3 linked regions of the Notamacropus eugenii genome follow. The protein of the gene in region 3 interacts with the protein of the main gene of each other region in a pairwise test. Links are inferred from orthologs where the notes say so. Each region holds a gene or a part of one and is shown on either strand. Other genes may lie near its edges. The genes, in order: actin, alpha cardiac muscle 1; myosin-7; MYBPC3.

Region 1 (9,831 bases), on a different chromosome or scaffold from region 3:
CTTTGGAATCTTGACTCTCTCTCTCTCTCTCTCTCTCTCTCTCTCTCTCTCTCTCTCTCTCTCTCTCTCTCTCTCTCTCTCTCTCTCTCTCTCTTCTCTCCCTCTCTTTGTCCCACCCCTCTAAGCCCCTCTTTCTGAGTCTTAGTAAATAGCTGATTGCAGTTGGCCCCAACATGTCAAATGACAGTGACCACAGGAATGTGCTATCTGGGAAGACAACCATTTGCGTTTGGAATGCTCTCCCTAGTGCTCAGCCTCTTTGGGGGCTGCACGTAAAATGTGGGAAAATATATTCAGAGAATGCCAGTCCCTTGGTATTGAATTCTCAGTTTCATGATGTGACCTCCCCTCTGTGCTTTTCCCCCACCCCCACTCCCATTCCTACACACACTTTCTTCTTTCAATTCAAGTGAAAAACCAGCTCCAGCCAGAGGGCACTGGTGAGTGGGGACATGCCAACTGAAGGAAATAAAAAGAAACACGTGTGTGAAGGACATCAGCTGTCCCTGTTCGGGAGGGCTGTCTCCCCCCTCCTCCCTCTGGCAATCTGGACCCAGGAGTCTTTCTCCCTCAGTCAGGGGAATGCAGGATGTGACTGGGAGAGTCTGATTGGAGAGGAATTCAACCAGGGCTATCAGTTACCAGCTTCTATGTAAATACTGTGGCACCTCTGAAAGCAGGAACAGCTGAGATAAGTGACTGTTAATCTATCAGTCCATTCTATTGGTGCTGTAGTAGAGACTACTAGACTTGGAGTCAGAAAGACCTGATTTCAAATTCTATTTCACTTACTAACTGGGCAGGTCAATGAACTTTTCAGCCTCAGTTTCCTCATCTGTCAAATGAAGATCATAATGGCACCTACTTCATAGAGTTATTGTGAGGATCAAATAGGATAAAATATCTAAGTCTATTTTATTTTCTATTAATATTTTCTTTAATATTTATATTCAATATTTATTTAATATTTTATTTTAAGCAAATCTGAATGGACTCTATAAATATTATTATGATTCTTTCTGTTCCCTATAGATGGTTGATGTGGACTTCTTCTAATCAGAGAATAAAAACAGGGATCCGAAGAGGCATTGCCTCTTTTTGCTACTTAGCTCTGCCCCCTGGCATGTTCACCACATTATCACTGCAAAGGGCCTGACTTCAGCACTACAGTCTTCTGGACATTCTGAATGTAGGGCCTTTGGCTTTTGTAGTCACAGAAGAACATTGGATCTAACCTAGGATGATACAGGCAGCATTCAGCAAATTTCTGTACATGTGCAGATAAAGGACATTCTACTCTCTTATTCACAGAGGTATGGGGAGGCCAAAGGGTCAAAGTTCTGTTCTTTTCCAGGTGATTTGGACCAGTTTGGGGTCATCTGAAAGGTCTCCGACACTCCTAGAGCAATGGATTTGGAGTCAAAGGACCTGGGTTGAAATATTAGTTTTGCCAGTTACTAATTGTGTGACTAATTGTGTGAAGTCACTTTAAACCGTTCAGGGGCCTTGGTTTCCTTATCTGTTAAATGAGGCAGCTGAACTATATAAAGCACTTACTAATATGCCAGGTGCTGTGCTAAGCACTGAGGACCCAAACAAGTAAATAAGAACATTTAGCCCTAAATGTGATCCTATAATCTATCTGGTATCTTCCAGTGGTCTTCTACGTCACCTCCTGGGGCCTATTCTACAAAAGGAAGAGGAATTGATAGATATTTGGGGGGCGTGGGAGAGGGGAGTTAAGGAGATGGGTTCTTCCCAGGACCCTGGAATCACATAAATACAGTCTGTCTAGTTCACATATGGTATAGGCTTAGGGTTCAACTAGTTAGTTAATTGTAGGTTGGAATATAACTGCTCTCTTTTTCGAGCAAGACTTGAAAATTCTCTCCCCTGCAATCATTCTTTTTCCTTCTTCCTCTCTCTCTCCTTTAGTCCTTCCTTGGGTGGAGATTTTTAGGTTAGTTGATTCTATGTAACAAGATTGAAAAGCTGCTGAACAGGCTTCCAGTGAGCCTCCCAAGAAGGGGAGACGGTGCCATCATTTCTACCCATGTTATTTACCTCAGTGTGGGATTTCTTAAGGGGCACTTTGCAATTGGAAATCATGGGAGTGAGGAATAAGCTCTATTACTGTCCTAAGTGAACAAACTGTAGCTTCACTATACCATAAAGCAATGGGAAGATGGTCTTAATTCTAAAAAAAGGAAGACCAATTGATAGAGCCTGAAAGAATGACCATGATTATAACCTCACTTCATCTTGTGTCTACATGTATACATGGTTAAGCAGAACTAATCTTTTACATCTACTCCTCCTTCCTTAAATACACAGTGTCCCAGAATTCATACTGAAGACTTCTGGGACACCCTGTATAACATACTCATTGCATGTAATATGAATGCAAATAGATGAGCATCTGGTGTCTTTTCCAGGAAAAGAAGCCAAGCTCAACACCAAAGTTGGCTTAATCTGTTTCTTACATAGACCAACCCAAACATGGTTGAGGAGAAAAGGGGCAGGCCTTAGATATTTTCAGTTAGGACCCATATCTCTACTCTGAATGCCTCCTCAGCATTCCCAAGCCCACTCCACTGAGGGATGCCTGCCTGGTCTTCTATTTTTAACTGGTATGGACTAGAAGAAAACTGCATATAAACAAAACAACAAAATATAACTCCTTTAAAGATTTATAGATCCAAGGGGATCAGTGCTGGGTAAAATTATGAATGAAGTTGATCTTTCCTTAACTTTTCACACCCTTCTTTACCGAAAACCTCTCTTTGAAATCCTCACTGAAACTTCTTAGCAAGAAAGGATCTAAGGCAGTCTTCTTGCATGTGAATTTAAGTTAGTGTGTTGCATTTCTCAAAGGGAACTTACATTTTAAGACATCTCTAACTGAAATGAAAGCTTTTTATACCATTAAAAGATGTCCAGCAAACATCGGAGAATGGGTGGGAGAAATATTTGCAGGGGCAGAGGTGGGGGGAGAGAGAGATAGGGGGACGAGCTCTTCCCAGGACCCTGGAATCACACAAATACAGTCTAGCTAGTTCACGTATGATATAGGCTTAGGGCTCAACTAGTTAATTAATTGTGGGTTGGAATATAAATGCTTTTCTTTCTTGAGCAAAACTTGAAAATTCTCTCCACCTTGCAATCACTCATTCTCTTTCTTCCTCTCTCACTCCTCTAGTGATAGGGTACAATAACAGCTGATAAATTTGATTAATAAGAGGTTTTGTTCACCACAAAGCAGTCAGCTCTATTTTTCTATCTTCACTCAGCAGTGTATATAGCGACACTAGGGTTATTCATCTCCAGAAACCCAGTAGTTCTTCCTACCCAGCTACCTGCCTCTTTGCCATGAAGATACAGATTTTCAATGGCCTTATTGTGCCAGACTATAATGTTCATGAAAACCGTACCTTTTATCTCTTTCCCCATTTCTTGCTTAGGAACACCAGAAGGATGGGGCCACTTTCTTCATACATGGATCAGCTTCCAGGTTTTTCCTAGAAGAGGACCTCATGCCAGACTTTCTTTAATCATCTGTATATAACTTATTGGCCTTAACCCTGCTACATAGTTATGACTGGTTGAAAATTTACAGTGGCATGGTGGCAAGTGTGCCAAGTTTGGGGCAAGAGATCTTTCCTGAATATTCTGGTACCACCACTGTAACCTTGTTATTTTACCTCTGCGGACCTCAGTTTCCTCATTTGTAAAATGAAGTGTTGAACTAGAGGACCTCTAAAGTTTGTTCCATCTTTAAATCTATGATTCTGTAGAGTCAAACCAAATTCAATGAGAAACCCTTCTCCCTCGTTCCAGTGATCCCCCAGGAAAAGGGTATGTGTGACCTTCCCTCCCCCTCCCCCTCCTCCCATTCTCCTACCCCTCCCTGGACTCCCTATTTGGCTATCCCCTTGACTGTCCCCCTCCCCTACCTTACATGGTCTGGGGGCCCCCTGTTCTGCCTCTCCCCTTCTTTTGGCTCCATGAATGGACTCAGCGCTCCCTAATGGCGTGAAGGCGACCAAATAAGGGCAAGGTGGCAAGCCTGGGTCCCCCCACCCCCTGGCCCCACTCGGCCCCAACTGACACCGTCCATCAAAGCAGTATAAAGCGGCGCGGCTGCCGTGCCCCAGACACCAAGCGTCTGCCTACCCCGGAGCTGGAGCCGCGGGTGCTGAACTGGTGAGTCAGCGCAGAACCTGGCGCAGCGTCGCATCCATCCAAGTAGCACCAGAGGCTCGGGACAGAGGGCTGGGGAGGGAGGGTGAGCAGGGCAGTGGGGACGCACGCTTGACTTCCTGGCGCCTTTTAGTTACTTTTCTCTGCTGTTTTCTTCTCTCTCTGTCTGTCTCTCTCCCTGCTGCGACCCTTCCCGAAAAAAAAAAAACGTATTTGACTTTGTACCGACTTTCCTATTTGGTCTTTCCACTTGGGCGATGTTGGAGATAGGATAGGGGATGGACAGAGAATTTCTCGTTTTCTTTTATTTTCTCGTTCTTTTGGGAACGACCCCTCCCACGCCCCACTCCCCAGCCTTCTCTCAGCTTGAGTGGGCGCAGGGGTCTGGCAAGCTGCTCGGTTTCCCATTCTAGACCGGGACTGGGGAGCATAGACGGCTGGGGGTGCCTACCGTCCTGCGTCCCGTATAGAGAAAAGCAAGCTTTCTAGAGCCCAGGCTGGAATCTGGATGGGCTGACTCTAAGACCCAGCCTAAGAGTGGGCTCTGAGTTAGAGGAGCTTTGTCCTAAGCCAGGGCCATGCAGCATCTGGTCCAGGAGCAGGGGATGGGGATACTGGGGATGCTGAGGGCAGGCGCCAGGGAGTGAAGTCGGAGGAATGCTCAGTACAGTTGTCATTGGTCCCTGACAGCTTTTTGTTACCCCACAGAAAGGAAGGGTGACCCTCTCCTCGAGCACCAGCCAATGCTTTTTCATCCAGTTCTTTGTCTTTCATCCTCTCTTGCTTTGCTTTCCTCTCCTCTTTCTCTCAGACGCCCCACCCCTGCAATTCAATCGCTTTTTTGGTTCCTTTTGGGGAGCCCAAATGCAGCCCCCCTCCCACCTATTTTATCCCTAGAGCCCCCCCCCCCCTTCAGGGAAACTCCTTGGTTGATGTCTACACCCCCCACCAGCTCCATCTCACTTTCTGGAGAGTGACCCTCCCCTCTCTCTCCTCCACCCACAGAACTCCTTGAGACCTCAGCAAGATGTGTGACGACGAGGAGACCACCGCTCTGGTTTGCGACAATGGCTCTGGGCTGGTCAAAGCTGGTTTTGCTGGCGATGATGCGCCCCGTGCTGTTTTCCCATCCATCGTGGGCCGCCCCCGCCACCAGGTAACCTTTGCACTCATCTCTAATCCAAATCTGCAGCCTGGAGGAGCTTCTACTCCACCAGCAACCCCTCCCCCCATCTCTTCTGACCTCCATACCTCTTCTCTTACTCAGATCCTCCTCACCCTCATCTCACGGTATCTTTAATAATAATGACATCACCCTCATGATGCCATTGGTCTTCGAGAACAAAAAGGAGAAGAACGATAACAAAATAGCTCGACATTTGTATGAGTTTTTTAATCAGAGGTTTTGGGTTCAAATCCTAGTTCTTCCTCTTATTACCTATGTGACCCTGGCCAAGTTACTTTAACCTCTCAGTCTCAGTTTCCTCATCAGCAAAATGAGAGGATTGGATTAGATAACCTCAGAGATCCAGCTCAGCTCTAGAACTATGATCTTGTATAGTACTTGAAGGTTTGAAAAGCACTTTATGTGAACTATTTCATTTCAGCCTCAAAATAGCCCTTGGGGATAGACACTTACTACAGCTGAGCAAACTGAGTTTCAGAGACTTCCTATGGCCACACAGCTAATGCCAGAGGCTGGGAGTTCATGACTCCACATCCTGAGCTCTTTCCACTACATCTCCTTCCTTTCTTTCAAATCTGGCTTTTGACCCTCCCAACTAACCTTGATGGCTTAACTGGTCCCAAGGCCAAGGAAGCAAAAACTTAAACCAAAATCAACACCAGCAAAAACAGATTCACTGAAATCCTCCCAGTGAACTTAAAGTTCTTTCTCTGGCTCTCCCTATAGATATATACCAGGAAGGAGTCCATTTCCTAAGTATTAACCCATTACCTACTGTCTCCCAACTGGAATGCCCTCTGGAATTATCAGGCAAAAGTGTAGCTTCTTTTCCATTTCCCATATACATTGCTTTCTCTTCCTTTTTCTGTCTTTTACCAGAATTCTACAAAAATAAAACTCCTTTCAGCCTGCACCCCCATTTTCCTTCTTCCTTCAAGAGAGTACTAACTCTCAGTTATATCTCGTATCTCTAACTATGGCTTCTTAAAAATCCAGGCATCGTTGAATAAGTGACTGAAATGGTGCTAGTAATATACCACCTTGTTTACTACAAGAAATGTCACCCTCTGAGTATCTGCACCATGCCAACCAGGCAAGGCTGCCAAGCTGGTCTAGTTAGAACTTCTTATAACACATGAATGCTATATTGGTTCTGTGGAGATTAAATTTCACTGTTAGGGTGATAATAGCCCAGCTCTTTGTAATTTTTTATTCCTTCTGGGAATTCTAAAGTTTTTCCCCTTAGGTGTCATTCATAAAGGAAGTTTTATACCCCCCCACATGTATAAATATATGTATATATTTACATATATGTATATATATTCATTTGAATTAAAGTAGTCTTTTTACATAATTTCCCTTAGTTTGAATGACAATTCTGCTATTTTTGTCTATGGGAACTTGAACAAGTCACTTCAACTCTCTTCATTACAGTTTCCTCATTTACAAAATGAGAGATATCCTAGTAGCATCTAGGTGGAGCAGTGGACAAGAGCTCTAGGTGTGGAATGGGGATAAGTTCAAATCCTGCCTGGGACATTTATTAATCATGTGACCCTGGAGTCACTTAACTCCAGTTTTCTCTTCTGCAAAATGGGGATAATAGTAGCACCTATCTCCTAGGGCTTTTGTGAGGATGAGATAACATTCATAAAGTACTTTGCAAACCTTAAAGTGCTGCATAAATGCTAGCTATTACTATGTGATATCTGTAGTTCTGTCCCTATTATGTTTTCTTCAGTGAAATGATTTTCTATAGTTTGTTTCCTTCATCCATTCCTATAGTGGGGAAGATAAGTTCTGCACTTATTTAGCATATATAACATATATACATATATATACACACATATATATATACATATACATATATACACATACACAAAATAGTATTATTATTAACAATGACTTGCATTTATGTGACACTTTATGAAATGTTTTCCTAAAAAAAGTCTCAAGTAGATAGTACATGTATTATCTCCATCTTACAGTTGATCAAGCTGAGATTTGAAGAAGTTGTGTCTTTTCTAGTTACAAGGCCAGTAAAACTAAGAGCTAAGATGTAAATCCAGTCTTCTGAATTCATCTAGAATTCTTTCCACCACAAACTACTTCATCTCTTTTTGCCTTGGTTAGTGATGCCTACTAATCAATGTTGGTAGAGAAGGAGCTTTACTTTTCAGTTTTCCCATCTCTTTTCTCCTCCCTACAGGGTGTCATGGTGGGTATGGGTCAGAAAGATTCCTATGTAGGTGATGAGGCTCAAAGCAAGAGAGGTATCCTGACCCTAAAGTACCCCATTGAGCATGGCATTATCACCAACTGGGATGACATGGAAAAGATCTGGCACCATACCTTCTACAATGAACTTCGTGTAGCCCCAGAGGAGCACCCCACTCTGCTTACTGAGGCCCCTCTGAATCCCAAAGCCAACCGAGAGAAGATGACTCAGATTATGTTTGAGACCTTCAATGTCCCTGCCATGTATGTGGCAATCCAGGCAGTGCTGTCCTTGTATGCATCTGGCCGTACCACAGGTATGAAAGATATTCTGTCTTAACTGAGGAGACAATCTAGGTTAGTGAATAGAGCTTTTATGAAAATTTGGAAAAACTTGCAGCACAAGGTAATTTACTTAGTTTTCTATTATTTTCCATATATAATAAGGAAATAATCCCATTTTTTCCAGTATCCATCCCATAGTAGGTACTTAAATACTTGTTGATTGATTGACTAGCCTATCTTACTGGACCATTAATAGGACTAATGAGAGTATACCTGGAAAATGTGTGGAGAATGAGACAGTAATAACACCAGGAGTTTATAGGACAGTTGTCCTCCTAAGTATGATAAGAACTTTAACAAATCTCCTATTATTTCAAAGGCACATCGTATCATAGGCAAGAACCTGCAACATGTTGCAAACTGAAATAGAGAGATTTTACATTTACTTACAAATGTGAAAGGTACCACGCAAACTCCAAAAGTAAATTTTCATTCTTTTCAAAATGTGCATCAATAGATTCATTTTTATATTTTACTTCACAAGATTCACGGTTAAGTAGAAAGAGTAAAATGCTGCTAAGTAGTTTTTATTTGTCTTTCCTACCTAAAGTGTTCATAACCTTTCTGCAGTAGTGAAACAAGACACATATTATACAAAAAACAGGATACTATAATCTTTAAGGCGGGTGTGGTTGGTAAGATGTGGTCATGGATAAGTATACTGAAGTCATTTTTTTCTACTTCATTATTTAAAAGTGTGAGCTGTGACTGATTGGCTTCACATTTAGCATCCATTACATGGAAATGTATTCTCTACTGTAGGAGAGATCTGATCTTTCCTGGGCCAATGCCCAGCTCTGGTATCTGTCAGCAGCCAAGATTGGAAGCAAGCTTCTCACTTCTGGGTCTGTTGTGACTAAAGAGTTTTGCTGCCCTTACAATTTTATCTTATCTTTGTTATTTCTTTCTTATAGGAATTGTTCTTGACTCTGGTGATGGTGTCACTCACAATGTCCCCATCTATGAGGGCTATGCCCTGCCTCACGCCATCATGCGTCTGGATCTGGCTGGTAGGGATCTAACCGACTACCTCATGAAGATCCTCACTGAGCGTGGCTACTCCTTTGTAACTACTGGTGAGTGAATCTGACTCTCGTTCTCCTGGGTGTGCAATGTGGGTTTTTCCCTGGGGTTCTGTTAGCTCCCTTCTCCAACGGACTTACTTTCCTTTCAACAATGGATGTACTTCCAGACTTGACTGACCCCCTTTTATTTTTATAGCTGAACGTGAAATTGTCCGTGATATCAAAGAGAAACTGTGCTATGTTGCCTTGGACTTTGAGAATGAAATGGCTACAGCAGCCTCTTCCTCCTCCCTGGAAAAGAGTTATGAATTGCCTGATGGTCAAGTCATCACCATTGGCAATGAACGTTTCCGCTGTCCTGAGACTCTGTTCCAACCCTCTTTCATTGGTGAGTTGTAGAAGGAATGAGCCAAATGAATCATTTTTCCCATGTAGACATTAGGGACAAAGAACCCTTCCCATATTCCAAAGGTAAGGTGTAATGGAATGAACAGTAGATGGATGGGGGAGGAGATGTCAAGAGACTTGAATTCTAATCCTGTGTGCCACCAACTTGGGCAATTTACTGATCTACCTGACTTTTGGCTCCTTTACTAGGGAAATGAGAGTATAGGACACTTTTCTCATCTGTAGGGTAAGGCTATTAGATCAGATAGTGTCTGAGGTCCCTGTAAAGCTACGATTCTATGACTGTATTAGTAGTTCTTGAACTTTTTGTAGTGAGAGAGTGCTTCAGTTAAACAAAAACCACAAACAAACAAAACAAACTTTGGCAGAAGCCATATAGAGAAATCCTCTAAAATGATTATTTTTAATGCCTAGTATGAAACAACAGAAAGCTCATTAAGACACATGGTT
Region 2 (9,831 bases), on a different chromosome or scaffold from region 3:
TTAGAATTCTATATGTCTCTCCCCTCATGGTGCCTTTCCCTTCTCTCACTTCCCTTTGGCTCTTTGCTCCCTTACCCCTTGTCCTCCTTTTCCATCTCCTCTAATTGTCCTATCTCCCTCTTCTACCTTAGGGATAATTTTAGCTGCTTTCCCCACAACTCCAGCAAACAATCCCTGTTTGGGGCCTGACATTTGATCTCTGGGTTGGTGACACAGAGCCCAGACAAAGCAGGCACAATTCAGGGAGGAGGGGTGAGGATGCCCAGATTCACCTTCCTTCTACTCCAAGCCTTATTTGGCTTTCCTCAGCTGGGTGACCCTCCCTTCTGCTCCTTTTTATTTATAGCCATTTGTAGCCATATTCTCTCTTTTGTTCTTATCCACGACTCTTCCCCTTCCCCCCTGCCCACGCAAGCCCTCTTTCTCTTTACCCCATATCTGCAAGCCTATTCTTGCCTGGAAAGTGGTTCCTAAATACCCTGGTATGGCTTGTAGCCAGTAGCTCTAGGTTTATCCCCAGAGTTTAGGTTCTCCAAAAGATTTGTAAAATTATTCAGCCTGGACAGCTACTGAAAAAAGGGAAGATTTCCCTGACAAGCAGGGGTGTGAAACATCAGAGCAGGTGTGTGAGGGGTCTTGTGGGGGTCTTTAAGGACAGCAGAGACTTCCAGCTGTCTGGGATGGTGTAGGTGAAATCTAGATTTAATGACTCCTAGAAAGTCCCTGCTATCCCCAATGTGATCAGTCCCCAGGGCACTGAGATTAATCAGGAAGCACAAGTGAGAAGCCCTTTTCTTTTCCTGCCTGCCCCAGCAAACTTGTAGCTCCAAAACAAAGAATTAAAACTACAAATCTAGGTTGAACAAATAAAGTTTGATGGAGCTCTGTTGAATAAACTGTAAATAATGATGCCCAAAATTAGGACATTGGGTTTAAAATGAACACATTAGTCAGTTTCAGGTTCTTGACTCTTGCTCCAGTGACCAGCATACTTGAAGACAAGATCGGCCCCTGATGGGTGCAGAGTGGTGGTGTTTCAGGTGGGTTTCTAGCATATAGGTTCATAGGTTTATATAGCTCTCTTTATAGGATTTTCTATTTTGTCTCCAACCTTCTAAACTATCACTTGTGATTATAAGGAAATAAACCTTAAATCTAAAAAATAAAATGAAATGAATATACTATCATCTGAGCATCGTCTCTTGGACATCTCAGTGACCTGTACCTCAGGCTTGGAGACATCAAGGAGGGAGGTCACCTGTATTTGGAGACTGAAAGGGACAGAAGGAAAACTGTGCGTTCAGTCCTGCCTTTGGAATCCCTGGGTATCTTCTCTAATGTATTTGACTTTTCTGCAAACAGTCTTTGCAGGGCTCAGTTCAGGACTACTGGAATCTTTCCTAGTGTATATGTCACTGGCAGAGCAAACTAGATTCACCCAACAATACTGTGAAGCTAATAGTGCAAGTAATATGGTTTCCATTTTATGGAATGATGGAAGATGATGAGGAAACTGAATGCTACCTCTTCTCTAGATTAGTTCTCTCTGATATCCAGAGGGATATCAAGTTATTCAAATGACAATCCACACCAGATGGAAAGATGTGTTCAGGGAAGAAGGCTTTCAAATTAGCCATCCGAAATATTGGACCATAGATAGAGTGCTGAAAGGGACCTCAGAAGTCCTCTTGACACAGAGTCACCTTGCCCTTACAATCCCAACTCTATGGAAGATCATGATGTAGAATCATGGCGACATGGAACCATGAAGTCCAATCCAGTTGGACTTCATGTGATGAAACTAAAGCCCAATGTGACTGTCATTTGCCCAAGATCATACAGCTAATTAACAACATAGTCAAGGCTAGAACTAAAGTGTTAAGTTTCTGCCCAGCTCTGTACAGATGGGCTGGCTGCCTTCCTAACCCTCATCCACAAACACAAACTGGCTGCTATCCTTTGGAGAGGGGAGCATTGGTCTTTGCATCACCAGCCTTCTTTTTGACTTAAGAGTCAATATCCTTGTTAAGAAGCAGGATGAGCAGCAGAAACTTTGATGGAGAGATCTGCTAAAACTCACCTGTACAACCCTAAGGTGTCATAGTTGGGGAACTGGAGGCTTCTTGGATAACAAAAGGAGAAACTGAGATTTGGAGAGGTTAGTTGTAGTGGGGACAGGTATCCAGACGAGGAGCCCAGAAACCTGGATTCTAGTCCCATTGCCACCACTAATGAGCTCAGATGTAAACTTCATTGAATCATTTATCCTTCCTAGACCTTGGTTCCTTCATCTGTAAAATGAAGGTAGCACTACAAGCACAGGTCTTGTGAAAATCAGAGTGAAGCGGGTAAAGCATTTTGTGAGCCATAAAAGGACTATGGAAAGATCTGCTAGCTAAAGTCCTTTGCAGCTCTGAAATTCTACAAGCCTCTATAAAGTAACTCAATAGTTTAAAGAAGTCAGGGGCAGAGACAGTTCCCTTGTCTATATTTCCGATGTAACATCCTTTCTAGAACTTCACACTTTCTAGATGTCACCTTCTAGACTTTATCCTTTGCCATCTCTTTCCCCTTCTTTTCCCCCTCCAGCCCTCTTCTGCTCCTGCCTCGACTCCTCAATCATTTAAATTTCTAAAAATTGTTTTACATCATCACTTCCCATTATCTGTAAAACACACATAGTGGGCACTTCCTAAATGCTCATTCTCTTCCCTTTCTCTTCCCCAACAGAGTTCACCCTCCTAACAAAAAGCGTAGTTAAACAAAGTAAATCTATGTGCTGGCCATGTCGGGCAAGCTGTACCTTATTCTGCATCTCAATCCCCATCATTGTCAGGTGGCTGGAAGTATAATTAACACTCTAAAGTCAGGACTAGTCACTGCATTCAAATTTCTTACATTTTATTTTTTCCCCATTTATTTCATCTAATTTTTAAAAATGTTGTGAACTTATTAACAAATTAACAAATTTGTTAATTAACAAAATTATTAATTTAAATTAACAAAATTAACAAAAGTTCACAAAATTAACAAAAAGAAATATATCACATACAAAAGGGCAAGAAAAGGGATTGTGTAAAAAAAAGATGTCTTTTGATGTTGTTTCTTTTTACGTTGAAGTCACCGCATAAATTCTTCTCTGGTTCTGCGTTTTTCACTCTCGGTCAGTATAAGTCTTCCCAAATTTCCTCCGATTTCACTTTCAATGTGGGTTTTTTTCTGTATAAAAAAACAAAAAGAGAAAAAACCCATAGGGCCAACAAGCTTGGTACAGTGGATGGAGAGGTGTGCCTGAAGTCAGGAATACCTGAGTTCAAATTCAGCTTCAGACATGTGATCCTGGCCAAGTCATTTAGCTTCTGTGTGCCTTAGTTTATTCAACTGGAAAATGAGGGTAATAATAGCACCCACCTCACAGGAGGGCCAGATGAGATGATATTTGAAAAGCAGTTAGCACAGTACTTAGCACTTAGTAGGTGCCTGATTTCCTTCTCATTCATTCCATGCTCAATTTCCTTCTCCCCAGATTCAAGTGAGATAATGTGTTTAAACTAGTAGGTGCTATATAAATGCGTATTCCTCTTTCCTTTATTGTATACCACTATTCTGTTACATTCATATGCCACACTTTGTTCAGCTATTTGCCAACCAGTGGGCACCCATTTTGCTTCCAACTCCACAAAAAGAATTACTATAAATTTTCATGTATACATGGGCTTTCCCTCCCCCTGGGAAATGCCTAACAGTGGTATGGGTGGGTCACAGAGTATGTGCACTTGAACATCTTTCTAATATACTTGGAAATTTTTGTCCAGAAAGGCTGGACCACTTCAGAGCTCTACCAGCAGTCTCGACTGGCTTCTGACACTCAGTGCCCCATGCCCAAGCCATGAAGTTGGAAGAAGGGCCCAGGAATGTGGATCAGGAAGGCTGCAGTGGGAACCAAGGGGGGTAGCGACGGAGCTGGGGGCTCGATGGGCTAGGAATGGCAGGAGGTCCCGGGCCTGGAGCCCCCAGGGGAGGGTTTGGGAGGGTCTGCTTTTTCTCTCTCCCTTTTGGTGGGCTCCATACTCCTGCCAGCTGTGGAATGTGAGGCTTGTCCAGGGAGATATTTTTTGCTCCATTTGGAGCACCCCCGCCCTCTGGAACTCAGACCCTGCGAGATCTCCGTGCCATAACAATGACGACCACTTCCAATTGTTTCCTATGCCTCCATGGGGGGGAGAGGAGGGAGTTGCTTAGAAAGGGGGGGGGGGAAGGGGACTGGGGGAAATGCTTCTGGTGACAACAACTCTTTCTAAATCCGGCTGGGGACGGGGTGCGGGTGGGGGTGGGAGCACCCTTCAGTTCCATATATAAGGGCCCTGAGACCAGTGCTGCTTCCACATTCTTCTCTCCTTGTCTCTCTCTCTCTCTCCCTCTCTCTGACTTGCTAATCTCAGGTAGGAGTGGTGAGCCTATGACCTCCCTCTGCTGTGCCTGGGACAGCATGGATTGGGAGGGGGCAGACGGTGCTCGCAGGGAAATGATTGGCTTAGGGAGGGATAGGTCTAGTTATCTCTATGGGTCTGTGCACCTGTGCAGGTGTACCTGAAAGGTGAAGGCAAATGTATAGGGGGATATATTTATTACATATTGGTTATATGGGGCCTTAGTTGTGATGAAGAGGGCTGTGTGTGTGCATGTGTGTGTATGTGTATGTGTGTGTGTTTTTGAGGGGATTGTGAGCTTGTGGAAAGAGGTTTCTGAGAAAGTTATGCTCCTGGTAACCTGCATGGTACGTATCAGATATGTAATGTGAGTGAACATGGCACAGGAAATTGCATTTCTATAAATTTGTGGGTCCATGTCATGATAAATCATATTAGAGAAGGGTATTTATGAACACGTGTCTCTATAGGCGTAATCCACCCACCCACGCCCATTTAGTGGAAGTCAGGATAGCGTGGAGAATGAGATTTTATATAATTTATACCACTTGTTGAGCACCTGAAAGTATGGGACGCATAAAAACGTGTCCGGGTATGTATAATGTACATCTGTGAGCCTGAGTATTATGTGTAAACCTAAGAATGAATTCCACATGCATGTATGAATGGATGACATGCACTCAGGAATGTAGATCTATATTGAGATATATACATAGATTCAGACATAGATCTACATCCCTGAGCACATATGTACACCTGATGACATCCGCATACGCGTGCAAGTGGAATTCACATATAGACGTATTTGTGTGTATGTGTGTGTATATATACATACATATATATGAACATGTACGTAAATGGAATACTGGTCTTGGAGTCAGAAAGCCTGGATCAAAGGAAAGACCCTAGATTTGGAGTCAGAATATTTGGGTTTGACCCTCATTTCTGCTACTTACTGCTTACGTGCTGTTGGTAAAGTCACCAAGCTTCTTTAGGCCTCAGTTTCCTTATCTGAAAAAAGGAGAAGCTTAGATGAGATGATCTTTAAGGTCCTTTCCAGCTCTAAATCCCATGACCTTATGACTTGCGTAACATTTATGAGCTATACAACCCTGAATAAGTCATTTAATTTCTCTGTGCCTCATTTTCTGTATTTTTTTTTTAAAAAAGGATAATAATTCATGTATTCGCTGGCTCCCAGTGTTGTGGGTGAAGTGCTTTGTAAATCTTAAAGCAATATAAATACAGGAGCTGTCATGATGATGATGACGATGATAGGTAAAGAACTTTCCCCACAGCATCCTCGGGAATTAGTCATCACAAATATTTTTGCTCCCTTTTAACAGATGAGGGAACTGAGAGACAAGGTAACTAAGTGACTTGCCCAAGATGACACAACTGATTGGTATTTGAACTCTTTTCCTTGCTACAAATCCAGCACTGTCCTTTGTGAGCATGTTTGGAAGGGATAGAGTCCAGACCTGTGATTTCCTTGGTGTGGGAGGAACTCCTTTCACTGATGGAGATCAGCAAGAGCAGCTAGAGCCTTCCCTAGAGCACTAAGAGGTTGAGGATCCGCTCAGGTTCACACAGCTAGAATGAATCAAAGGTAGCACTTGAATTCAGGTCTTGCTTGCTCCAGGGCTGGCCACATATAATAATAGCTATTATTTCTATAATACTGTAAAGTTTGCAAAGTGTTTTATGTATGTTAACTTCTTTGATCTTCATAATAATCCTGTAAAGTAGGTGCTACTATTTTCCCATTTTATAAATGAGGAAACTGAGGTACAGAGAGGTTAATTTGTCCAGGGTCCCATAGCTAGTAAGTGTCTAAGGTAGGAGTTGGACTCAGGTCTTCCTGACCTCAAGTTCTGAGCACTATCGACTGAGCACCTAGCTATCTCTATACCACACTGCCTTTGCTGTACATTTTGGAGGTACAGGTATTTATTAGAAAGTGTGTGTATGTGTTTGAAATGGGTATGTGTGTATGTGTGCGTGCGTGTGTGTGTGCGTGCGTGTGTGTGTGAGAGAGAGAGAGAGGAAGAGAGAGAGAGAGAGAGAGAGAGAGAGAGAGAGAGAGAGAGAGAGAGAGAGAGAGAGAGAGAGAGAGAGAGAGAGACAGCCCCTGTAAGGAGGTGTGTGTGTGATGGGTAGGTATGATGGGTGTATCCGGCTGGGGATACATGGTGTGTGGTGTATCCCCTGACCAGATGGATGCATCCAAAGATCAATCACTTTCACATGTCCTAGGTGTTTTTCTAGCTGAGTGAGACTGATAATTCCAGTAGTTTATGAAAATTAGAGTTATTCATTACTAGTCCCACTTTCTATAAACTGTGAACAAATGCATGGAAAAGCCCTTTGGGCAAGAGGGAGATTATCTCCCAAATTGGTGTCCGAGGAAGTAAAGGAGATTAAGACTCCAGGCATAACCACCTTCAGGAAACCAATTTACTACTTTTGTGACTAAAGCTTTGATCTCAAGGGTATGATGTCTGGGGGAAGAGAAGAAAAGAAGGGATCACACAGGCTCCTGAGCATAACCAGACTGAAAGAAAGTGACTGCTAGGGCCAGAGAAAGGCAAAGATGATGGGATTGCCAGGTTGTGGGGTGAGGGTCTTCTTGTTCCCATCCCCTGACATTTCCTTTCTGCTTTCCAGCAGGCGTGTGTTCTTCCCTCCTCTCCTGTAGACTCCTCTGAGGAGAAGCCAAGGTAAATGGTTGAAAGAGAGCTATTGAAATGATAAGATATGAGAGAAAGAGAGGGAGAGGTTGAGTTCAGCAGCCCCAAGCTTGGGAAGTTAGGGAGTTTTTACTTCTCCCTGCTTCTACAGGGGATCTCCAGACAGTGACTTGGAAACCATAGAGAGTGCACCAATGAAGGATAAAATGAGGGAAGGGGAAAGGGACATACCTAGAGAAACCCTCCAATCCACACAATTCAGACCCAAAGCACCAGCAGATCTCCCTAATGGGGGTGTCTCCAGTCTGAACAAATATCCTCTACTTCATTTTCCTTTGCTGCTAGAGTTGCTTGGTTGCCCCTCTACAGGAAAGGTAGATTGAGGAAATAGGAGTTGTTCCATGGGGTTTAATCTGGTTGCAGAGACTGAAAAGGAGAAGGAGGAGATAGGGAGATCACTCTGTTTTTTCCCCACTCAGGCATAGCCATGGGTGATGCTGAGATGTCCGCATTTGGGGCAGCCGCCCCGTTCCTTCGCAAGTCGGAGAAGGAGCGGCTAGAAGCACAAACCAGGCCCTTTGACCTCAAGAAGGATGTCTTTGTGCCTGATGACAAGGAAGAGTTTGTCAAAGCCAAGATTCTGTCTCGGGAAGGGGGCAAAATCACCGCTGAGACAGAGCATGGCAAGGTGGGTCACAGAGTGGGTAGGGATGGTCAGAGGTCCAAACATGGGTAGGCTGTGTTGAATATAACCAAGGTCACACCCCATGAACCCAAAGGTCCCCCATTATTCCCTTGTCTCAGGGATCTATACTACCCCACTTTCACTGGAATAATCCCTAACCTCAAACATCCCTTCTCCCTTGGAGATCTTGGTTTTCCCTCCCTCCAACTACCTTGTCCTCCACCTCCCTTCAAAAGATCTGACCCCCTCTTCCAACCATCTCCAGTCCTCTCAGCAATCCTTATCCATCCTTTCCCCAATTAACTTTAACTCCTAATATTTTTCCAAGAGTATGGAAAGGATGAATCAGGAAAGTGTAATCTCATGATGGCAAAACTGGGGTGGGATCTCTTGTAGACAGTGACAGTGAAAGAAGACCAGGTCATGCAGCAGAACCCACCCAAGTTTGACAAGATTGAGGATATGGCTATGCTGACCTTCCTGCATGAGCCCGCAGTGCTGTACAACCTCAAGGACCGATATGCCTCCTGGATGATCTATGTGAGTGCCCCATTCCAGAACTAGCCCTCATGGTTCCCTCTAGAGTTATTTTCTGCATACCAACCCCTCTCCACAATGGAAAGTGGCATCATCCTTGGCACTATCATTATTAATTCTATCTGCAGACTCTCCCACCTGTCCCTTCCTTCTATCCCACTGTCACCACCACCCTAATTCAGGATCTGATTGTCTCTTGCCTGAACTGTTATAATAGTCTCTTTATTAGCCTCCCTGCTCTGATATCACTCCCTTTCAGCACATCACTGTCAAATTAATCCTCCTAAAGGACAACTCTGACCATATCTCTCCTGCATTCCAAAAGCTTCAGTAGCTCCACATTGCCCGATAAATCCAACTCAAGCTTCTTGGCCTGGCATTTAAGGCTTTATACAATCTGGCCACAAGTCTAATTTTTCCAGCTGTATCCCATACTCCAGCCAAACTAAGTTATTCATGTATTTACAAACACATCTCATACTTTCTAGGAGTAAAAAGTGTTGAACTTGGGATCAAGGTGATTGGAGTTCAAATTCTATCTCAAACACTTACTAGCTGTGTGACCATGGGCAAGTCCTTTGCAGCCTGGATTTTCCACCTATAAAATAGATTCTATTTCAAAAGATCATTACCAAAATCAAATAAGATAACATATAGAAATATTTTCAAGCCTTAAATCACTAGAGAAATGTTAGTTGTCATTATTAATTATCATTTCCAGTTTCCATGCCTTTGTTTATACCATTCCCTATATGCCTCCATCCCACCTCCATCTGTTGAAATCCTACCCACTCTTCAAATCTCAGTTCAAATGTCATCTCCTCCATAAAACTTGCCCTGTTCTCCTAGCTAGAAGTTCTCTTTCCTAAAAATAAAATCTTTTAACACTTTGTAAATCTCTCATGAACTTATTATGTCCAATTGTGTATTATAGTTATTTGCATATATCTTTTTCCCCTACTGGGTTGTGAATTCTTTGAAGGCAAAAACCCATTCATCCTTTTATCTGTCTCCCTCAGCATCTAATGTAGTGACTTGCACATTGTCAACACCCCATAACTGCTTGCTGAACATGCTGAATTCAGAAATTTTCATTCTGATCTATACTCTTTTTACCCTTTGAGACCCAGATGTTTCTGTGCTCTATGTCCAGATGCTATCACTTGTTTAGATTACATATCATTACCTTTTGGTTGAATTCTATCCTCTTGGCAGGCATCATTTTCCCTTTTTCAGTGAACTCAGCATTTTGCTCCTTTTCCTGTCTTTGAATCCTTTTATATACGTGTGGCACTCTTGTTTGAAGAGAGAGATAGAGGAGACACATAAGGACAAGGACAGATAAAGAGATACAGTCACAGACAGACAGAAAGAAGACTGAGAAACAGGGAGACAGAGAGACAGAGACATGGAAAAAGAGACCCAAAGAGAGAAGACAGAGCTGAGAGAGACACACAGAAACAGAGACAGACAGGGAAACAAACACAGA
Region 3 (9,831 bases):
CTAACCTTCCAAGGCTCTCTAAATGCTAGACTTCTGGCTGTTCCAATGTACTATGTGTCAGACCCTGGGCTAAGCTCTGGGGATACAAGGAGACACCAAAAGTTGTCCCTACTTTCTTTCTTTGTTTTCATTTTTTAAAATTTTAGACTTAAATACTAAAACTTAAGTACACAATAAAGAAAAGAAAGAGAAAAAGAAATTTGAAAGAAGAAAAGCATGTCTTGTGCATAGCAGAATGTAAGTGAGGATTCAAAATATATACCAATAAGTTTCCATTTCAAGAAAGCCTATGTAATAAATACTATACGTGTTAAAAACTCTCCATCTTTTCTTTGCTCCCTTGTAAGTTTTCATTTGTCCTCTCCCCCCCCTCCAGAAGGCTACAATTAAGTGCAGATATATTTATATAGAGATATATACATACACATACACACATATACATACATACATACATATATAGACATATACTTTTCCTAACAAATTCTACTCTTGATCTTTGTTTCTGGGTTTGTGCATATCTCTTTTATATCTCCTGACTCCTTTACTTTGTTTCTGCCAGCTACCTTGCCCTCTTATTACTAAACCTGCCCGCCTCCAATAACTCCCATTTCCATAAATCTACACTCCCTTCTATATCCCCCATTGACCTATTCCCTCCCCCTCCCCTCTAAAGATCCTGAACCCCTACTTTCAAGGAATTCATATTTGTCAACATGAAAACAGCTCTGTTCATCCAAGACAGATACTGAGTGGATGGAAGATAATCTGAGAGAGAAGGTGCTGACAAGGGGGGATCCTGAGAAAGACCTCCTGCAGGAGGTAGGCTGGGTCTTTAAGGAAGCCAGGAGGTCCAGGTGAGGAGGGAGAGAAGTCCAGAGGCAGGGGATGGACAGTGCAGAGGCCTGGTGTCAGAAGATGGAATGTTGTCTGATGCTGCCATTGTCACTGGTTTGGAGAACAGGAAGCAGGGAGGAAGGCATAAGAAGACAAGAAAGGTGGGAGGGGGCTCATCACTTCTACACCCATCACCCTGATGCTCACTCAAGCCTTGACTGATGTCCCTCCCCTCCACTGTCTCCCCCTCTGATGGGAGGGCTGGAGGGTGGAATACCCAGCTCCTCCCAATGCCTTCCTTTATAAAGATAGGAAAGTGGACTCTCAGGGCACCACTCCACTTTGCATCCTCTGCTCTGCCTGGTTTCCTCTCCATGAAACAAGATGCCCTGTGCCAGGTTCCCCCTCCTTGCTCTCCCCCTGCCCTCTGTCCCTCCCCTTTTCTGCTTCTTGTGTGTCATCTTCCTTTTTAGATGGTAAGATCCCTGTGGGCAAAGGACCATCTTTCTTTTTAGCCACTGTATTCAGTTTAGCCCAATGCCTGACACTGGAACCTTAATAAATGCTGAAGATTATATTGGATTGGATGAACCAGACCCCACCCTCAGGATATTTGCTTGCATTCTACCTGGGGGCATCAATAACAATGTAATATTATTAATAACTCCCACTTCTACTTAAATAACCCCATCTCAGAAAAGGAAATCGAACAAACCATCAATGAACTCCCTAGGAAAAAATCTCCAGGGCCAGATGGATTTACAAGTGATTTCTATCAAACATTTAAAGAACACTTAATTCCAATACTATACAGACAATTTGGGAAAACTGCCGAAGGAGTCTTCCCAAATTCTTTCTATGATACAAATATGGTTTTGATACCCAAACCAGGAAGAGACAAAACAGAGAAAGAAAACTGTAGACCAATTTCTCTAATGAATATAGATGCAAAAATTTTAAATAAAATTTTAGCAGAAGAATATACCAACTTATCATGAGAATAATACATTATGATCAGGAAGGATTCATACTAGGAATGCAGGGCTGGTTCAATATTAGAAAAACTATCAGCATTATTGATCATATCAACAACAAAACTGACAGAAATCACATGATTATCTCCCTAGATGCAGAAAAAGATTTTGACAAACTACAGCCCCCATTCCTACTGAAAACATTGGAAAGCATAGGAATAAATGGAACTCTCCATAAAATAATAAGCAGTATCTACCAAAAACCATCAGCAAGCATTATATGCAACAGGGACAAGATAAATGCATTTCCAGTAAGATCAGGGGTGAAACAAGGATGTCCATTATCACCATTGTTATTCAATGTGGTGTTAGAAATGTTATCTGTAGCAATAAGAGAAGAAAAAGAAATTGAAGGAATTAGAATAGGCAAAGAAGAAACTAAGTTATCACTCTTTGCAGATGATGTGATGCTATATTTAGAGAATCCTAGAGAATCAAATAAAAAAGCTACTTGAAATAATAAACAACTTTGGCAACATTGCAGGTTACAAAATAAACCCAAATAAATCATCTGCATTTCTATATATTACTAACAAAGCCCAACAGCAAGAGATAGAAAGAGAAATCCCATTTAAAGCTAGGGTAGACACTATAAAATATCTGGGAGTCTACCTGCCAAAACAAACCCAGGGACTATATGAACACAATTACAAAACACTTTTCTCACAAATAAAGTCAGATCTAAGTAAGTGGAAAAACATCAGTTGCTTCTGGGTAGGCCAAGCTAATATAATAAAAATGATAATTCTATCTAAATTAATTTAGTTATTCAATGCCATACCAATGAAATTACCAGATAATTATTTTCTAGAGCTAGAAAAAATAATATCAAAATTCAACTGGAAGAACAAAAGATCTAGAATATCAAGGGAACTAATGAAATTAAATGCTAGGGAAGGTGGTCGAGCCCTACCAGATCTCAAATTGTATTATAAAGCAGCAATAACCAAAACCACTTGGTACTGGCCAAGAAACAGAGGGATAGGCCAGTGGAATAGGTTAGGTACTCAAGACACAGTAGTTAAAGAATATAGCAATCTACTTGGGTTTGATAAACCCAAGGACCCCGGGTTCTGGGATAAGAACTCACTGACTGACAAAAATTGCTGGGAAAACTGGACAACAGTGTGGTGGAAACTGGGCATAGACCAATGCTTGATACCGTATACAAGGATAAAGTCCAAATAGATACATGGTCTAGGTATAAAGATTGATATTATAAACAAATTAGAGGAGCAAGGAATAGTGTATGTGTCAGATTTATGGAGAAGGGAGAAATTTACGACCCAACAAGAGATAGAGAACATTATGAAGTACAAAATGGATAATGTTGATTACATTAAATTAAAAAGTTTTTGCACAAATAAACCCAAAGCAACCAAGATTAGGAGGGAAGCAGAAAACTGGGAAAGAATTTTTGCAACTAGTGTCTATGATAAAGGCCTCATTTCTAAAATATATTGAGAACTAAGTCAAATGCACAAGAATATGTCATTCCCCAACTGAAAAATGGTCAAAGGATATGAACAGGGAATTTTCAGAGGAAGAAATTAAAATTATCTATAATCATATGAAAAACTCTAAATCACTATTGATTAGAGAGATACAAATCAAAACAACTCCGAGGCATCACATCACACCTACCAGACTGGTTAACATGACAAAACAGGAAGATGATAAATGTTGGAGAAGATGTGGGAGATTTGGAACACTCATTCATTGTTGGTGGAGCTGTGAGCTGATCCAACCATTCTGGAGAGCAATTTGGAACTATGCCCAAAGGGCTACAAAAATGTGCATACCCTTTGACTCTTTCCTAAAGAGATCATAGAAATGGGAAAGGGTCCCACACATACAAAAATATTTATAGCAGCTCTCTTTGTGGTGGCCAAAAACTGGAAACCAAGGGAATGCCCATCCATTGGAGAATAGCTGAATAAGTTGTGGTATAGGAATGTAATGGAATACTATTGTGCTGTAAGAAATGATGAACAGGAAGATTTCAGAGAGGCCTGGAAGGACTTGTATGATCTGATGCTGAGTGAAAGGTTCAGAACCAGGAGAACTTTGTACACAGCAACAACCACAGTGTACGGGGAATTTTTCTGGTAGACTTAGTCCTTCATTAAAATGCATGGACTTTAAAAAATTTCCAATGGGCTCTTGAGGCAAAATGCCTTCCACATCCAGAGAAAGAACTATGGAATTGCATCCCAGATAGAAACAGACAGTTTTCTTTTGTATTACATTTTGTTTTGTTTTGTGTTATAGTTTCTTTAATTCATTTTAATTCTTCTATGCAACATGCATTTAATAGGAAAGTATGTGTAGAATCTATATAAGATTGTACGTCGTCTCAGGGAGGGAGCAGAGAGGGACAGGAGAAGGAGGGGGAGGAAGTAGAAAAAATCTAAGATATATGGAAGTGATTGTTGAACACTGAAAACAAATAAAATAATTCAATTAAAAAATAACTCCCATTTCTGTCATGCTTTTAAGTTTTGCAAAGCACTTTCCTCACAACAACACCATGAGGTAGGTTGTAAAATGTTTATTAACCTCATTTTATAATTAAGGGAACAGGATTTCAGAGATGACTCAACTTCCCTCCAGTCATACAGGTACTGGTAAAGCAGGCATCTATGGAGCCTAGAGCTGGATGAAACCTCAAGGGCCATCTTGTCCAATCCCCTCATTTTACAAATAAGGAAACTGAGGCCTAGAGTGGCTACACTCATCACAGGCAGGATTTCAATCCAAGTCCTTTGACTCCAGAGGCTGGTGTTTCCCCACTGTGTCACATTCTGATGAACCCTGGTTTCCAGGCCGAAGGGCCAGGGCACCTTCCCACCATATCTGACTGCCTTCACATCCTGGGCTTGTGACCACAGGATTGTACCACCCCTGCCTTGTCCTTGTGCTCTACAGTATGACCCTGACCTTAATGTTGAGGGCTGTGGGAATCTCTAGGGGCCTGGGAGTGCCCTGAATGGGACAGAGAGAAGGACGAGATAGAGGGCATGTGTGGGGGGAGGGTAAATGACACCAGCCAATTCAACAGAATCTCTTTGGGGGCTCAGCTAGGTCTAGTTCCCATTAGGTGGGTGCTGGGGAAGAGGGAGAAGCAATGAGCTGCAGGGTGGTAGGGGGGGTCCAAGTCACTGACCTCAGAGAGGAGGCTCTCCCTTAGGAGAGAGAGGTCATTTGGCCTTTAGCTGGGCTTTGGCCGCATTCCTTCACTGGCCCTGTTTCTATCTCCCCACTATAGGAGGGGGCTCTCTCTGCTCCCTGGAATTTGTCTATATTTAGTTCTTACAAGAGCCCATAGCTGATAAGGAGCCCCTGGTGATAAAGCTGGGGGAGGACAGGAAGGTAGGGGGCGGGCAGTGATTTATAGGACCAGAGACACTGGTGATCTCACTCCGTCTCTCTGCTCCCTGCTCCTTTGGTCAGTGTTGGTGGTGGGTACCCAGGTGCCAGAAGACTTCCTCAGGATGCCAGAGCTGGCAAAGAAAGCAGGTAAAGATACCTGGGGATGAGAGGATGAGTGGGGATGGGGCAGGAGAAAGCAGTGGATTTAGGGATGAGGGCCAAATTGGGGCTGGTCAGGGAGAACAGTGCTGGAATCCCGGTGGGGATCAGAGGCCCTGCTACCCTAGAGAAGGGTAAGGGGCCTGAGACCAATTCTCCCTGCTGGCTGGCCTAAGGAGTGAGCTGGGAGGGTTTGAGGCAAAAGAAAGGGCCAGGGGTCTGGCCACCATGACAGAACGTAGGGTGGTGGATGTTGTCCAGCTTGGGATGGATTTGGAGTCACAAGGACCAAGGTTCACATACTGGCTTTGAAACTTACAGCCTGTGTGACCCTGGGCAAGTCCATTTCTTTCTCTAAGCCACAATTTCCTCATCTGTTAAATGAGGGGCCAGCCAAATTAGAGGGTCTCTAAGGACCCCAGAAGCTGTGACCAGCATCCTAGAATCCTATGAATCCAGGCTCTCTCAGCTACTACCAGTGTGACCTTGGGCAAATCACTTCATCTCTGTGGACTTCAGTTTTCTTATCTGTATAATGAGAAGTTGAACCTGAAGGCTTTCATTGTCCTTTCCATTTATAACAGAATATAACTTTCCAGGAGAAGGCAGCCCCCAAGAGAGGGAGGGCTCTTTTTTTTTTTTTTGCTCTGCCCATTCTGGTCTCTTCCCCAATGCCATAGAGGTTCTTGGAATAGGGATGGGGTCTGAGAACCCCTTCTTGGAGGTACAACAGAGAGCCCTAACTTTGGAGTTCCCTTGGTCCCTCACCTCTTACCTTCTGGGGGGGGCTACAAATCCCAGGCTCATTTTCCTGTCAGTTTCCTCACTCCCCACTCCTCGAATTTTCTCCCCTCCAAGGTCACCCAACAACAGGACAACTGAACCAGGTATCCATCTCCTGGCACCTGTCTTTGGCCGCTTCCCCTCCCCATCCCCAAAGCCTTATCACAGCTGCTTGTTATCAGGCTGAGGCCCAGAGAGATAAATTTAGCCAAATACCAGGCAGGGTCAGAATTCTCCTCATTTCCTCCTCCCTCTCTCTCCTTGTCCCTTCCCCCAGCCCAGAGCCCAAGAAACAAAGAGACTGATACTGGCATGAAGAATAGGGTTGTATTAGGGTAGTGGGCAGCCAGGTGGCCCAGTGGATAGGGCCATGGACCTTGAGTCAGGAAGATCTGAGTTCAACTCTGGCCTCAGACGTTAGCTGTATGACCCTGGGCGGGTCACTTCACCCTGTTTGCCTCAGTTTCCTCATCTGTAAAATGAGCTGGAGAAAGAAATGCCAAACCACTCTGGTATCTTTGTCAAGAAAACCCCAAATGGGGCCATGAAGAGTTAGATGCTACTGAAAGGACGGAACAACAACACATTAAGATAAGAGGATGATCCTCATTTCACCTTCACAGTCACCACTGTTCAGCTGCCTTGGCCACCATGGGACTCCTGGGGGGAGGGAGATGATTGCCAGGGTGCCTGAGGGGAGGCATCAGTCAGAGGGGTTCTGGGCTGGGCTTGGAGGAAGGAGAATGCTGGGACATATCGCGGCTATACCAGGGGCAGGGCAGGAAGCCCTCCAAGGTGCACTGGGGGAAATCACCCCAGTGTAGGAGAATCATGGGATCCTAGGTCTGGAAAAGACCAGAAAGCCCTCTGCCGCTACACCCACGAGTCAACCTCCCCCTTCCCATCTGAATCTAACACTTTCTCTCCCGACTCTGAGCAAGAAGTGAAGAGTCAGGAAATGGAGAGAACTCGATTCCTGCCTAGAATCTGGCTAAATGTACGGATAACGAGTCAGGGAAGGGGAGACAAGGCTGGAACTGCTCTAGGAGTTGGGGGTATTGAGGGATCAGTTGGGGGGACAACTGGGGGGCTTCCTAAAGCTGAATGAAGTTGAACCTAAAGTTGAACCTCAACTGCTCCTCAGTTTCAGCATTTAGCAAGAAACCCAAAACAGCTGAGGCAGCCGTGGGCAGTTCTGCCTTATTTGAAGCCGAGACCGAGCGGGCAGGCCTCAAGCTACGCTGGCAGAGGGCTGGCAGTGACATTGCAGCCAGTGACAAGTACGTGCTGATGTCAGAGGGCACCAGGCACACTCTGACCGTGCGGGACGTGGGGCCTGATGATCAGGGGCAGTATGCAGCCATCGCAGGCTCTTCCAAGGTCAAGTTTGAACTCAAGGTCAAAGAAGCAGGTCTGTGGCCTTCCAATCGTTCCCTCTCATGCCTCAGAGTGCAGGTACCCTCAGGGGCAAGGGTGGGTCTCCTTCCTCCACTTGGGCACCTGCCCTTTCTGAGTCCCATGGCTCAGTCTTTGCCAAAAGGACAAGCTGAACCTAGGGGCTTCCTGGAATCCAGCCTGGGGCAGCCTCTGGAAACTACCCCTGGAAAAGAGATTTAACCTCTCAGTGTCTGGGCCACTCTCTATGATGCTAAGTTACAGAGAAAATACCAACTTGCATTGGCAGAGAGAGTTTTCTCATTCTGAAGTATCATATACCAATGAATTCAACAGGTTCAGGTACTATACTTATTCCTCCTGTATAGAAGGTGTTGCTTGGTATTGAGGATATAAAGAAAAGAGCCTCAGCCCTCAAAGAGATGACATTCTACTGGGAAGGAATGATAGGTAATATGCCCAGATAAAGAAATGTAAGGTAATTTAAGGGCAGTGAGGATACTAACAAGTAGAGAGATCAGGAAAAACTTCATGGAGGAAAAGATACCTTAGCTGAGCCTTGAAGGAACATTCCAGTCAGAGAAGAAGACTTGTACGTATTTATGTAATAAGAAAGGAGATGTTGGAACACAGAACAGGTATGATTATAGAAAATAATGTAAAATAAGGCTTGAAAGGCAGGTGGAAGCCTATCGTGGAGAACTTAAAATTTCAAGCTAAAGAGTTTGTATTTTATCCTACAGGGAATAAGGAGCCACTGAAGGCTATTGAGCAGAGGAGTAAAATTCTTAATAATTGCAAAAATGCAAATATATGATTATTTCAATAAGTGCCTCTGACAATAATAGCACTCATTTTTTGTTTTTAAGGCAGAGGAAAAATAGCCCATTTTGTGACAAGATAAGTACTCCGTATCTAAAATCAAGTGGCAGCATTATTAGTGGTAGACAAACTCCAGAAGCTTTAGCACTAAACTGAGAATCGGAGCAAGGCTGCCTCTTGTCATTCCTATCACTTGATCTGGTTCTAAAAATGCTAACTGCAGCAAGAAGACAAAAAAAATTACAGGATCCAGTAAAGGTGGGAAGGAGGCAAAATTCTCTCAGTCCGCGGGGGATATGATGGATTGCTTAAAGAACACTGGACGTTCAGTGGAAAATTAATTGGAAGCCCTGGTAACTTTAGTAAAGTAGCAGGTTAATAACAGTCCTGCAGAATCGTCAGCTTTTCTGCGTCTGACTGATAAAAGCCAGCAGGAGCAAGGGGAACATTTATTTATTTTTGTACATGTTATTGCTGAGTTGTTTTTCAGTCATTTCTGACTCTCTGTAACCCCATTTGGCGTCTTCTTGGCAAAGACACTAGAGTGGTTTGCCTTTTCCTTTTCCAGCTCATTTTATAGATGAGGAAACTGAGGCAGAGAGGCTTAAGTGACTTGCCCAGGGTCATACAGCTAGTAAGTGTCTGAGGCCAGATTTGAACTCAGATCTCTGACTCCAGATCTGACTTTCTCTTCACTGTGCCACCTACCTGCCCCCCTAAACCTATATTTAGGAAGATCACTTGGGCACAGTTTGGATCATAGATTTAGAACTGGAAATTTTCTTAAGGATCAGCTAATCTCCATTTGACAGGGGGAGAAATTAAATCTCAGAGAAAAGGTTGCGCTTGAGCAGGACCATACATTTCGTAGCTTCAGAGACAGTTCCCAGAGCTCCAAAGCCAAGTCTCTTCGCTGCTATGCCAGGGTATCTAGGCAGGTGGTGGCTAAGGGCCAGACTTGGACTATGAATAATCCGAGTCTGAATCCTTTCTGAGGTGCTTACTTACTGTGCGACAAGGGGAAAGTCATCTGATTTCTCCCTGCTTCTGTCTCTTTATGTGTAAAATGGGAAGAGTAAAAGCACTTCTCTCCCAAGGTTTCTGTGAGAATCAGGTAACACACGTACGACGCTTTACACACCTTAGTGTTATATAAATATTATTATTATCACCAGCACTCTGGTATTTAGAAGGAGGGGTGACCAAGGAGACCAGGGACAAGGCCAGTGTAGTCTAAATGAGAAGTGATGAAAGCCTAAGCTAGGGCAGTGGCTGTGGAAATGAAAGGGAGCCTTGACAGGCTTTGGTTTGCAGGGCAGGAAAGATTCAAAGCTGACTTGAAAGTGCTGGGATGGGGGGGTAGAGAAGGGAAGACAGGTGGGTTTACGTGAGTCCGATGGGCTCGTGAAATATCCACGTAGAAGTAGCCCGT

Evidence for each region.
Region 1: the proteins of MYBPC3 (region 3) and actin, alpha cardiac muscle 1 interact in a two-hybrid assay, tested with the Homo sapiens proteins (2 studies listed by IntAct). The link is inferred for Notamacropus eugenii from reciprocal best matches to the Homo sapiens genes MYBPC3 and ACTC1.
Region 2: the proteins of MYBPC3 (region 3) and myosin-7 interact in a two-hybrid assay, tested with the Homo sapiens proteins (2 studies listed by IntAct). The link is inferred for Notamacropus eugenii from reciprocal best matches to the Homo sapiens genes MYBPC3 and MYH7.

What each region holds. Positions count from the first base shown.
Region 1 is NC_092878.1:19,589,846-19,599,676, reverse strand, and holds the start of actin, alpha cardiac muscle 1, read left to right. Parts: upstream 1-4,010; 5' UTR 4,011-4,203; intron 4,204-5,205; 5' UTR 5,206-5,227; coding exon 5,228-5,356; intron 5,357-7,595; coding exon 7,596-7,920; intron 7,921-8,862; coding exon 8,863-9,024; intron 9,025-9,169; coding exon 9,170-9,361; intron 9,362-9,831. UniProt on the Homo sapiens protein: Actins are highly conserved proteins that are involved in various types of cell motility and are ubiquitously expressed in all eukaryotic cells.
Region 2 is NC_092878.1:9,697,981-9,707,811, forward strand, and holds the start of myosin-7, read left to right. Parts: upstream 1-4,381; 5' UTR 4,382-4,442; intron 4,443-5,386; exon of another isoform or gene 5,387-5,441; intron 5,442-5,911; exon of another isoform or gene 5,912-6,023; intron 6,024-6,493; exon of another isoform or gene 6,494-7,097; 5' UTR 7,098-7,150; intron 7,151-7,351; exon of another isoform or gene 7,352-7,546; intron 7,547-7,586; exon of another isoform or gene 7,587-7,599; 5' UTR 7,600-7,607; coding exon 7,608-7,808; intron 7,809-8,201; coding exon 8,202-8,345; intron 8,346-8,894; exon of another isoform or gene 8,895-8,954; intron 8,955-9,528; exon of another isoform or gene 9,529-9,831. UniProt on the Homo sapiens protein: Myosins are actin-based motor molecules with ATPase activity essential for muscle contraction. Forms regular bipolar thick filaments that, together with actin thin filaments, constitute the fundamental contractile unit of skeletal and cardiac muscle.
Region 3 is NC_092877.1:3,633,887-3,643,717, forward strand, and holds the start of MYBPC3 (myosin-binding protein C, cardiac-type), read left to right. Parts: upstream 1-5,280; 5' UTR 5,281-5,362; coding exon 5,363-5,387; intron 5,388-7,326; coding exon 7,327-7,593; intron 7,594-9,831. UniProt on the Homo sapiens protein: Thick filament-associated protein located in the crossbridge region of vertebrate striated muscle a bands. In vitro it binds MHC, F-actin and native thin filaments, and modifies the activity of actin-activated myosin ATPase.